Linked DNA regions of Oryzias latipes. Each later gene encodes a partner of the first gene's protein in a complex. Links are inferred from orthologs where the notes say so. Each region holds a gene or a part of one and is shown on either strand. Other genes may lie near its edges.

Evidence for each region.
Region 2: the proteins of tacr1a (region 1) and tac1 are in contact, whole or in part, in a cryo-EM structure (PDB 7P02), measured with the Homo sapiens proteins. The link is inferred for Oryzias latipes from reciprocal best matches to the Homo sapiens genes TACR1 and TAC1. Residues at the interface, in NP_001049.1 of Homo sapiens: Gln24, Phe25, Asn85, Asn89, Tyr92, Ala93, Asn96, Trp98, His108, Asn109, Ile113, Gln165, Met174, Arg177, Val179, Cys180, Met181, Ile182, His197, Val200, Phe264, Phe267, Phe268, Tyr278, Leu279, Ile283, Gln284, Tyr287, Met291; in NP_003173.1 of Homo sapiens: Lys60, Pro61, Gln62, Gln63, Phe64, Phe65, Gly66, Leu67, Met68.

Annotation. Positions count from the first base shown.
Region 1 is NC_019867.2:25,963,979-25,968,490, reverse strand, and holds the start of tacr1a (substance-P receptor-like), read left to right. Parts: upstream 1-1,664; coding exon 1,665-2,068; intron 2,069-4,512. UniProt on the Homo sapiens protein: This is a receptor for the tachykinin neuropeptide substance P. It is probably associated with G proteins that activate a phosphatidylinositol-calcium second messenger system.
Region 2 is NC_019869.2:20,881,558-20,885,899, reverse strand, and holds tac1 (protachykinin-1 precursor), read left to right. Parts: upstream 1-1,516; 5' UTR 1,517-1,526; coding exon 1,527-1,643; intron 1,644-2,270; coding exon 2,271-2,373; intron 2,374-2,476; coding exon of another isoform or gene 2,477-2,500; intron 2,501-3,434; coding exon 3,435-3,491; intron 3,492-3,571; coding exon 3,572-3,618; 3' UTR 3,619-3,632; downstream 3,633-4,342. UniProt on the Homo sapiens protein: Tachykinins are active peptides which excite neurons, evoke behavioral responses, are potent vasodilators and secretagogues, and contract (directly or indirectly) many smooth muscles.

The DNA.
Region 1 (4,512 bases):
AGTTTCTTGATTTTTTTTTATTTTAACTTTTTTTTCATTCTCAGTTTAAGTTTAGTTTTTCATTTCTGCACTTCAGTGCACTATCTTTTCAGCTGCTTTCTTAGTTAAATACTTATTTAGTCTGTTAAAGATTTATTTATTTAGATTTTTTTTTTACAGTCAGTCTTTGCTAGAGCCTGTTGCCTTAACCCCTTTGTTCTCTGTCTCTGAACAACCATGCACGTGACCATTTTGGGCAGTAAATTTACTGTCATATGTTGACTGGATGAAAGAGGTGGCTTAACTAAGACAGGTTCAAACAACAATCTGTTGATTTGAAATAAATTGAAGCTGCTCATACAATCATAGATCAGAAAGGATTTTTGCTATGTGTGTGGGCAGATTGAATAATAGCCAAAAGGTGAAAGCGTGACAGTCATGGCAGCAAAAGTGGAAGCAAAACGTTTTCTTTACTTTGACACTTGGAATGTTTCTGTTGTATTTAGTGAAATGTGGAAGTTCTGCCATAATTGACCTGCTTGCAGTGCATTAAATACCATGGATAATGCACCTTTGTTTTAAACTAAAAGCTCACAAGAGCGAGACAAAAAACATGACAAAGGGACAAACAGCTCTCACCGAGACTGGTGGATTCTAAAGGTAGCCGTTTCTAAAAATGTGTTACATGGACCAAGTAAAATTAAAATCACTTGTTTTTCTTTTCATTTTTTTTCCCCATTTCTATAAATTATAAATCAAATGTTGTACATGTTCCTGAATGTTCAGTTCACAAATATGAAACCAAGAGGGGGCAGTGAGAACCAATGTTGGAATTTTAGCGCAGCGCATCATTGAACACCACATCATATAAGACAATCAATGAGATATGCAGTATACTATGAGGTTAACTATTTCAGCATCAGCACATGATAAATACAGACTCTGGGAGTGCTTTTGTTGAACTTTTGCTTTCAAAAATTTTTCTTTACTGCCTGCCTGATTATTTTAAGCCTCTTTGCCAGATTGATGTAACATTGTCCCCCCCCCCCCCTGCCCCATCCGTATGTTGTATTATTGTCGACAGATGAATAATACGCAAATTAAATCAGATAGAGGGCATTTAAGCATGATAATCCGTCTGGAGTCCCCATGCGGTTTTATTCGGAAGGAATGAATAACTTACCTCGCTCATCCATAATCATAATCACTGAGCCTGCCCATTGGACGGGTGCGTACTAGCTCCCTTCATAAGTGGGAGTGCAGCTGCTCAGATCGAACAGAGAAACTCGAAGAAGGCGCTCAGACTCTGAGGGTGAGAGGACGAAGCTGAGCGTTCTGTTGTGTGAGACACGATAAGGCAGCGCGCACTCCTTCTACTGCTGTGCCGCGCGTAAAAGCCGTTCCATTTTTTTACGCACAGTCTAGAGTGGCAGATTTTTGAGATTTTGTCGAACCTAAGGTTTAAGATATCTTTTTATATGAATTTCAAGACAGAGAGGCCTTCAGGTGGACACTTTGCCGAGATCAGTCTGAACTATAATCGGGAAAAGGAGGCATTTTCCCCCAAATGAGCGCAAGGTTGCAAGGTTTTCTGAAGTGACCTTTTCTTCACTGTTTCACCGGAATTATTCACTTCAAGTCGTAATGTTCAGTGGGTAGTCTCCACTTGCTGTCACAACAATAGAATGGATCCTCTGTTTAATACAAGCGCTGTGCCAAATTGGACTGCGAGCCCCAACGACACCGACAACGACAAAGAGTACGGGAACCAGTTTGTGCAGCCTGTCTGGAGAATCGTCCTCTGGGCTATTGCCTACAGTTGTATCGTTATAGTGTCAACAGTAGGCAATGTTACGGTGATCTGGATCATTATGGCGCACAAACGCATGAGGACTGTCACCAACTACTTTTTGCTGAACCTGGCTTTCGCCGAAGCCTCCATGTCCACCTTCAACACGGTGATCAACTTTGTCTACGCAGTGCACAACGAGTGGTACTTTGGACTGGTCTACTGCCGATTCCAAAACTTCTTTCCAATCGCCGCTGTCTTCGCCAGCATCTACTCCATGTCTGCGATCGCTCTGGACAGGTACGTATGCTGCTCACGCTGCGCTTGTGTCGATAAAAGACAGATGACAACATATGTGTGGAGAAAAACAAAAACCTTACAATACATAAAGTTCCATAACATGTTTTTTTTCCTCTGTTAAAATTTATATTAGTGAGAACAATTTAGAATTGCTTGGTTAATAATGCAGAAATATGACACATTTTCTAAACGCAGAGATAAAGGAGTTCATGGTGATAAAACCTTATTTAAAATCAGATTTCAAAATCTCATGATGGAGTTTTGCTGCAGTCTGCACATCAATGCAGTCTCTTAAATCTGAGCTGTGCATAGAGCCCCCCTCCCCAACAAAACAAAGATTGATTGTTTTAAACATTTGCAATAGATAAATGATTTAGACAAGCAAGTGCAGCTCCCAAAAGCAGATTGTTCAAAATTGTTATGACCTTGTGGCATCATCTGTTCATATAAATATGTAAAAGTCTGTCAGAAGATAATAGTGCTTTCTCTATTTAATGGGCATCTCCTCTACACAATGCCATAGAATGAAAATGAATATGTAAAAACCAAAGTTCTGTTGGAATGTGTAACATGTTCTGTGTGTTTGTGTCACTGTCTCACTGTTTTAACAGGTTTGTCTTGTTGTGCATTCATATGAAGTGTGTGTTTGAGGGTGCAGATTTAGTCCTGGATGCATGAGTTCCACATCTGAGCCAAAGTCGGATAAAGCCCCAAACATGATCATTTTTTGCCTCTTTTTTGTCTTTTTTGCATATGGCAGGTCACATAATGGAAATAGCTGGCAGGTCTTTTTAATCAATTTTAGCAAGAAATGTGTGATTGACATTTTTTGAGAGCTCCAAAGAGACAGAAAACAACAAAAAAGATTAGAGTGGCATCACGCCACAGTATAAACACCTCACTTCCCTGCTGCCAGTTTGCTTTAAATCTGTATGAGAAAACATTCTCATTCCTTCCTGTTAAAAAATGAAGTTTTATTTTTGCAGGAAAGCAATTAAATGAATTTGTTAATCCAGTGGAAGAGGTAATGAAAACAATTTTAATCAGAGGTGAGGAAAGTTTTTTATAAGGGGAATCAACTAATCTTTTCCTTTTCAAATTCTTGATTTCTCTGAGCTGAAGAGCTCCCGTGTATTTTTAGATGTGACACCCTCTGAAAAATACAAATGGAGATCTGTGGGATCTCATCACAGGTAGTGTTGAGACTCTGCTTCATTGTATTGTCTGCTGTGAGAGTGCCATGGGGTTCCTGCACTGCACAATTCACAGATTATCAGTAAAGCTGGGTGCCAACAACAGTGTGTTGGCTTCTTCAAAACAGCCCACCTGCAGCCTCCAGGCTCATGAAGTCGTTCAAAGGATGCAACATGTTTTTCTTGGATTTTATTTTTTCTAGCTTTAAAGGAAACTGAGCTTAAGAACTATATCAGTTAAGACTTTCATATATTATCACTTATTAAATCGCAACTTTTATGTATATCATTATTTTGCTCTGCCAGTCATAAAAATGCCTTTCGAGGCAAACCATCCAAGTTGTGCCCTATCCCTTCCCTATCTTCTCTGGGATAGGCTCCAGCATCTCTGTGACCCTTAAAGGGATTGAGCAGGTTTAGAAAATGGATGGTCAAAAAAAGACATGAAAAACAGTAACTTTGGTCAGTGAGTTGAAGTTAAATTTAAATTAATTTAAGCAAGAACTAATTCAAGGCTTGATGTGAACCTGAACTTGGTTTTAGTATTTATTAACAAAATGTCTGGCTTAATTTTTTTCACTCCTAAAGGGACAGCTGTGGCTTGGAGGTAGAGGAGTCTCCTAGGGAACAGTTGGCGGTTCCATCTCAAAGTGCCTTTAGGCAAGACACTGTTTGCTGAGTTCTCTCTGGCGGGTTAAGCTAAGCGGCATGGCCGCTTCCTCAGTAGTGTATTATTGTGGGAGAAAGTGAGTACCGGTAAATGAGAAGCCGCGTAAAAGTGTGTTGAGTACCAGTAGCCAATAAAGTACTATCCAAGTGCAGACTGTTTACTATTTTCCATCATAATTAACACAATCCAGATGATCAGCAGCTCTTTCAGTGTTGTTCTTTTGATAATGTGTTAAAATCGATACAGTAACAACACTGTGGACTCAGCCAAAAACAAAAGTCCAATTGTTTTATAGGAGGCAGAGTTGCTATAAAGCAGTGCTTCTCAAAGGGGGGGCACGCAGAAGTAGCGGTTTTAGGCACGGGCACAAATTTGACAGGGCGCGTTGGTGACAGGGGCTCAGTGCTTGGAGAAAAATCTGCGCCACTATGGAATTATTATTATCTGTTATATGACAGAGTTTGTAACAGCCTGAAACCTGTGAACTGCCGTCCCTGCAACTGCGCGCTCCTGTCACACGCGTGTGTGAGAAGGAAAGGGGAGGGATAGTGTGCTCAGGCTGCCAGGTGGAACCGCACACG
Region 2 (4,342 bases), on another chromosome or scaffold:
GAACAGGCTAGTTCTTAAATGCGCATTTAGCCCATGGTGTTCACACTGAACAAGCATCTTTTTCATCTATCTATCGATCGATCGATCGATCGATCGATCGATCGATCGATCGATCGATCGATCGATCGATCGATCGATCTATCTATCTATCTATCTATCTATCTATCTATCTATCTATCTATCTATCTATCTATCTATCTATCTATCTATCTATCTATCTATCTATCTATCTATCTATCTATCTATCTATCTATCTATCTATCTATCTATCTATCTATCTATCTATCTATCTATCTATCTATCTATCTATCTATAAAAATATTTGAACCTCTGACATAAAATACATGGCAAACACAAAAAAGGCTCAGACAAACAAGAAATATACAAAATTTAAATTTAGCTACATTTGCTGGTCTTTTACATAATATCTTCTGCGCCTAGCAGTTGTGTGTTCAGGGCATTTATTTGTATTTTTTCCACTATTGTTGAGCCATAGAGGTGATGTGGGGACTTATTAAGGCCTTCGTTACCAGCGGGCGTGTAACAAAGATGTTAAGGTGTTGTTGTGCTGTAATGGTGCTGTTCAATTAAATTAAATAGCAGAAAAGCAACTAAGTACATTTTCTCTTTTTCAAGACAGATTCTCTGCAGAAATGCTGCTCACATTGTTGCTGAAATCTGTTTTAGAACAAAAAAAAACAAAAAATTTCTTAGACTAAAAGCGCAAAAATATCGGAAGATTAAAATAATTCTTTTAAAATCCCCTTTTCTTTCCAGTTCAAAGCTCGCCTCTTTGGATCTTCTGTCTCCATCTAACCCTACATTCTGCTGTCACCTCGCCCACACTGCTGTCCTCCACCACATTCACGCTCATCCTCTTTTCACCTCAATGTTCCTTGGAAATTCTGACATCAGCCTTTAACCCTTCAATGTTTTCACAAAAATCCATGAATATTGATCCTATGCTTCCTTGTCACTCCCAAAGAAAGACGAGCTAAAAGCCTAAACATCAACAATTCCGAAAAGTAAAGAGGTTAACGTTTGTATGAGCAACTGCTGCACGTGCTCAGAACTGCAAAGACCTCCTGGTTCATTCATATCTGCAGCTCCTTCTCTCATTGGTCAGAACGGTTCTGAGCCCGGTTCAAAGTCCTGGTCATGGCGTGGTTTGATGTATCTTACTAAAGAGGGCTTTTTCTGTGGGTGGGGCACTGAAATTGTAGACACGCCCTGTGGATGAGGTGCACACGTGCATTTTTGGAACTTTCTAAATGTAAATCTAGTTTTACTTCATATGAACATGAAGTTACTTTTTTACAAGCGGGGCACGTTACTCTAGTAATCCTGCTTCTTACTAAACGACGACGCAACAAAACCGCGTGGGGACAGAAGAAAAGGAGGCGCGCGCGCCCGGGACTTGTTGCGCTAGAAGAAAGGTAGCGGCGCGCGCGCGCGCGGCACCGCCTCCGCGCGGCGCCCAGATAAAGTGTGTCAGCGCGGACGATGCAACTCTCAACGCTTGAACCATGAAGCTGCTGCTGCTGCTGTCCGCGCTCGTGGCTCTGCTCACCGGCGTGCGCGTGCTCTGCCAGGACCCCGAACCCAAGGAGGACGCGGACTACTGGACAAGCACGAACCACCAGGTCAGATCCGCCGACTGCAACTGGAAGGGGAAAGACACAAGTAGTACTGATTGAATTTAAGGTTTTATAGTTTTATTTTCACTTTTATTTTTATTATTATTATTATTATTATTATTAGAGAGGAGCAGCAGTTTTTCATTTAATTCTGCACATTCTGTAGTTGTGTTACAAAAGTCTGGAAATTTCAGAGACAATTCAAACTACGTCCACCCCCTATAATAATAATAATAATAATAATAATAATAATAATAATAATAATAATAGATTAATCCAGAGAGAAATTTCGCAACATCTCTTTGGTGATTTGAGTCTGAGTAGGGCCTGGATCGAACCAGGATTGGCTGCTGTGCACCAGCGTTCGGACAGTAGCTGCTTCCACATGTCCGGTCTGCTCCGGCACAGCCTGATGAATAAGGCTGCCACAAATCATGGGGAGGAAGACACCCACTAATGTGTTCAGAAGAGATCCATCCTGAGAGACTGAAATAGAAACTGAGAAGAAGGGACAATTATTCACTGCTGGATGGGGTGGGGGGCATTTTATTCTGGGTTTCTATTTTATCTGCTGTGGTCATTTGAGCAGATAGAGTTTTAACACTCTGGATTTGATCCCCCCCACCCCACCAGGACGGCTGGCTGTCCAGCGAGCCGCTCAGAGAAATGCTGCTGAGGATGACGAGGAAGCCGCGGCCGCATCAGTTCATCGGCCTGATGGGGAGGCGCTCCACGGGTGAGGGCTGTTCCATTTGTGTGTGTGTGTGTGTGTGGATGAGCCGCTCACACTCTATGTCTCTGTTTGCCCCCACCTCCACCCTACCCTTACCCCCCTCCAGCAAACGCACAGATCACCAGGAAAAGTAAGTGTCCATTCTGATCTTCAGTTTTTTTGTCATGAAGTGAGAATTCGGTCCCCCACCCTTCCCCTCCAGCTTCTTGCATGTTCTTGCTGCTGAAGCTCCGATTCAAGCCCTCGGGAGGAGACACCCTCATCACGACCCCCCCCCCCTTCCCAACACCACCTCCCATACCTTCCTGAGAAACAAAAAGCTGAAATTTCCTGTTAATCAGTGCTTTGAAGTGAAGGTGGGAGGGAAACGGGGAGGGGTGGGCTTTATTTATGGACAGTGTTTGAGCTCAGCAGCGGTTCTCCTTATTTAATCTGTCAGACGTGGGGGGGTGCAGAAAAAAAGGGAGAAGCGTGGTGGGGAGTCCGCCCTCTTTGTAAACATTTTTAATTAGTCGCCCCCTCAGGGATGGAGCGGTGGCAGCAAAGCGAGCGTTCGCCCAAGCGCACACGCACTTGCACAGCTGTCAGTCACGATGAAGAGGAAGGACTACCCTTCATCATTGCTTCAAGGACACAACTGTTTAGACGGGGACCCCCCCACCCCCAACCTGGAGCGAGGCCATCAGCTTAATACATATTGATCTGTCAGTTATACAGCCCCCCTTCCCTGAATGTGATTGACGGGCAGCTGCTGTCGGTTGTCGGATGTCAGGCTCCTCTTCCTCACAGTCGGGCCCGCGTCCAGATGATGAAGATGTTTTCCATCAGGGTGCCAACTGCCGCTCTGTAAAGAGAAGCGGTCAGTTTAGATTTCTCCAGGGAGCAGCCGCTGCAGATTCAATCGCTGCGATCGGAGAGGAGCTCCAACCAATCAGAAACCGCTCAGGGTCAAAGGTCACAGGGAGGCTTGACTGGACACAAGTGTGAAAGATGGGTTAGGTCTGATGTGCTACATGAACGCGTGCCACGAATTCCCACTAATCCGTGTCATATTTGCCCTGAAGGACATAAAGTGAACTCGTTTGTGGGGCTGATGGGAAAAAGGAGCCAAGAGGAACCAGGTGAGTCCACTTTCACCCAAATGAGCCTGAGGTTCTGCTGATTTCTCTGGCAGTGATCCGAGCCTGTCGTCTTTCTGCAGAGTCATACGAGTGGAGCACAATACGGACGTACGACCAGCGGCGCTGAGCACCTGTCATCTTCTTGTCTTGCGTGTGTGTTGGGGGGGGGGGGGGTATTTTTTTTCCTTGCTATGTATAAATGTTAGCTGAATAAAACGACTGTTTTCATGTTCTGGTGATGACTCTACCTGTGCCCGTCTGGTTTGTACCAGCAGAAGCTGGGCAAAAGAAAGTGGGGAGGAGGAAGGAGTGTTTCTGTTTCGTCTTTTTTTTTTTTTGACAGCCTCCATCTGCTGCAAACCCTGACAAATGGGTCCCATCCAAGTCAGTTTTACCTGAGGGGGGGGTTCATCACTGCAGATGTCTGTTAATTTCCATCCAACGCATCTGGATAGATTCCACACCTTTAAGCGCTTCTCTTTACGTGTCTGCATGTGTGCTGTATTGACGCAAACCGCCCCTACCGAGAACATCAAATGACCATCAACAAACTTCATCAAGAATTCTGCACCAGAGGCGCAGTTCAGAAATTCTGGAGTGAGGCAGCGCTGCACCCTGGTGGTTTTGTGGAAGAACATCATTTTATTAAAACCTTCCAGTACACACACACGACACAACTACCTTCTAAGCATGACAGACTAGAGCACACCTGCACGCATGCATGCAAATGCACACCTGCAAACATACATGTGCGAGTGCACATTGTCATACTCACATAAACGCACATCTGCACAACACACATCTGCAGACACGTGGGAGTGCACACTTGCACCACCCCACACGAGCTTGCA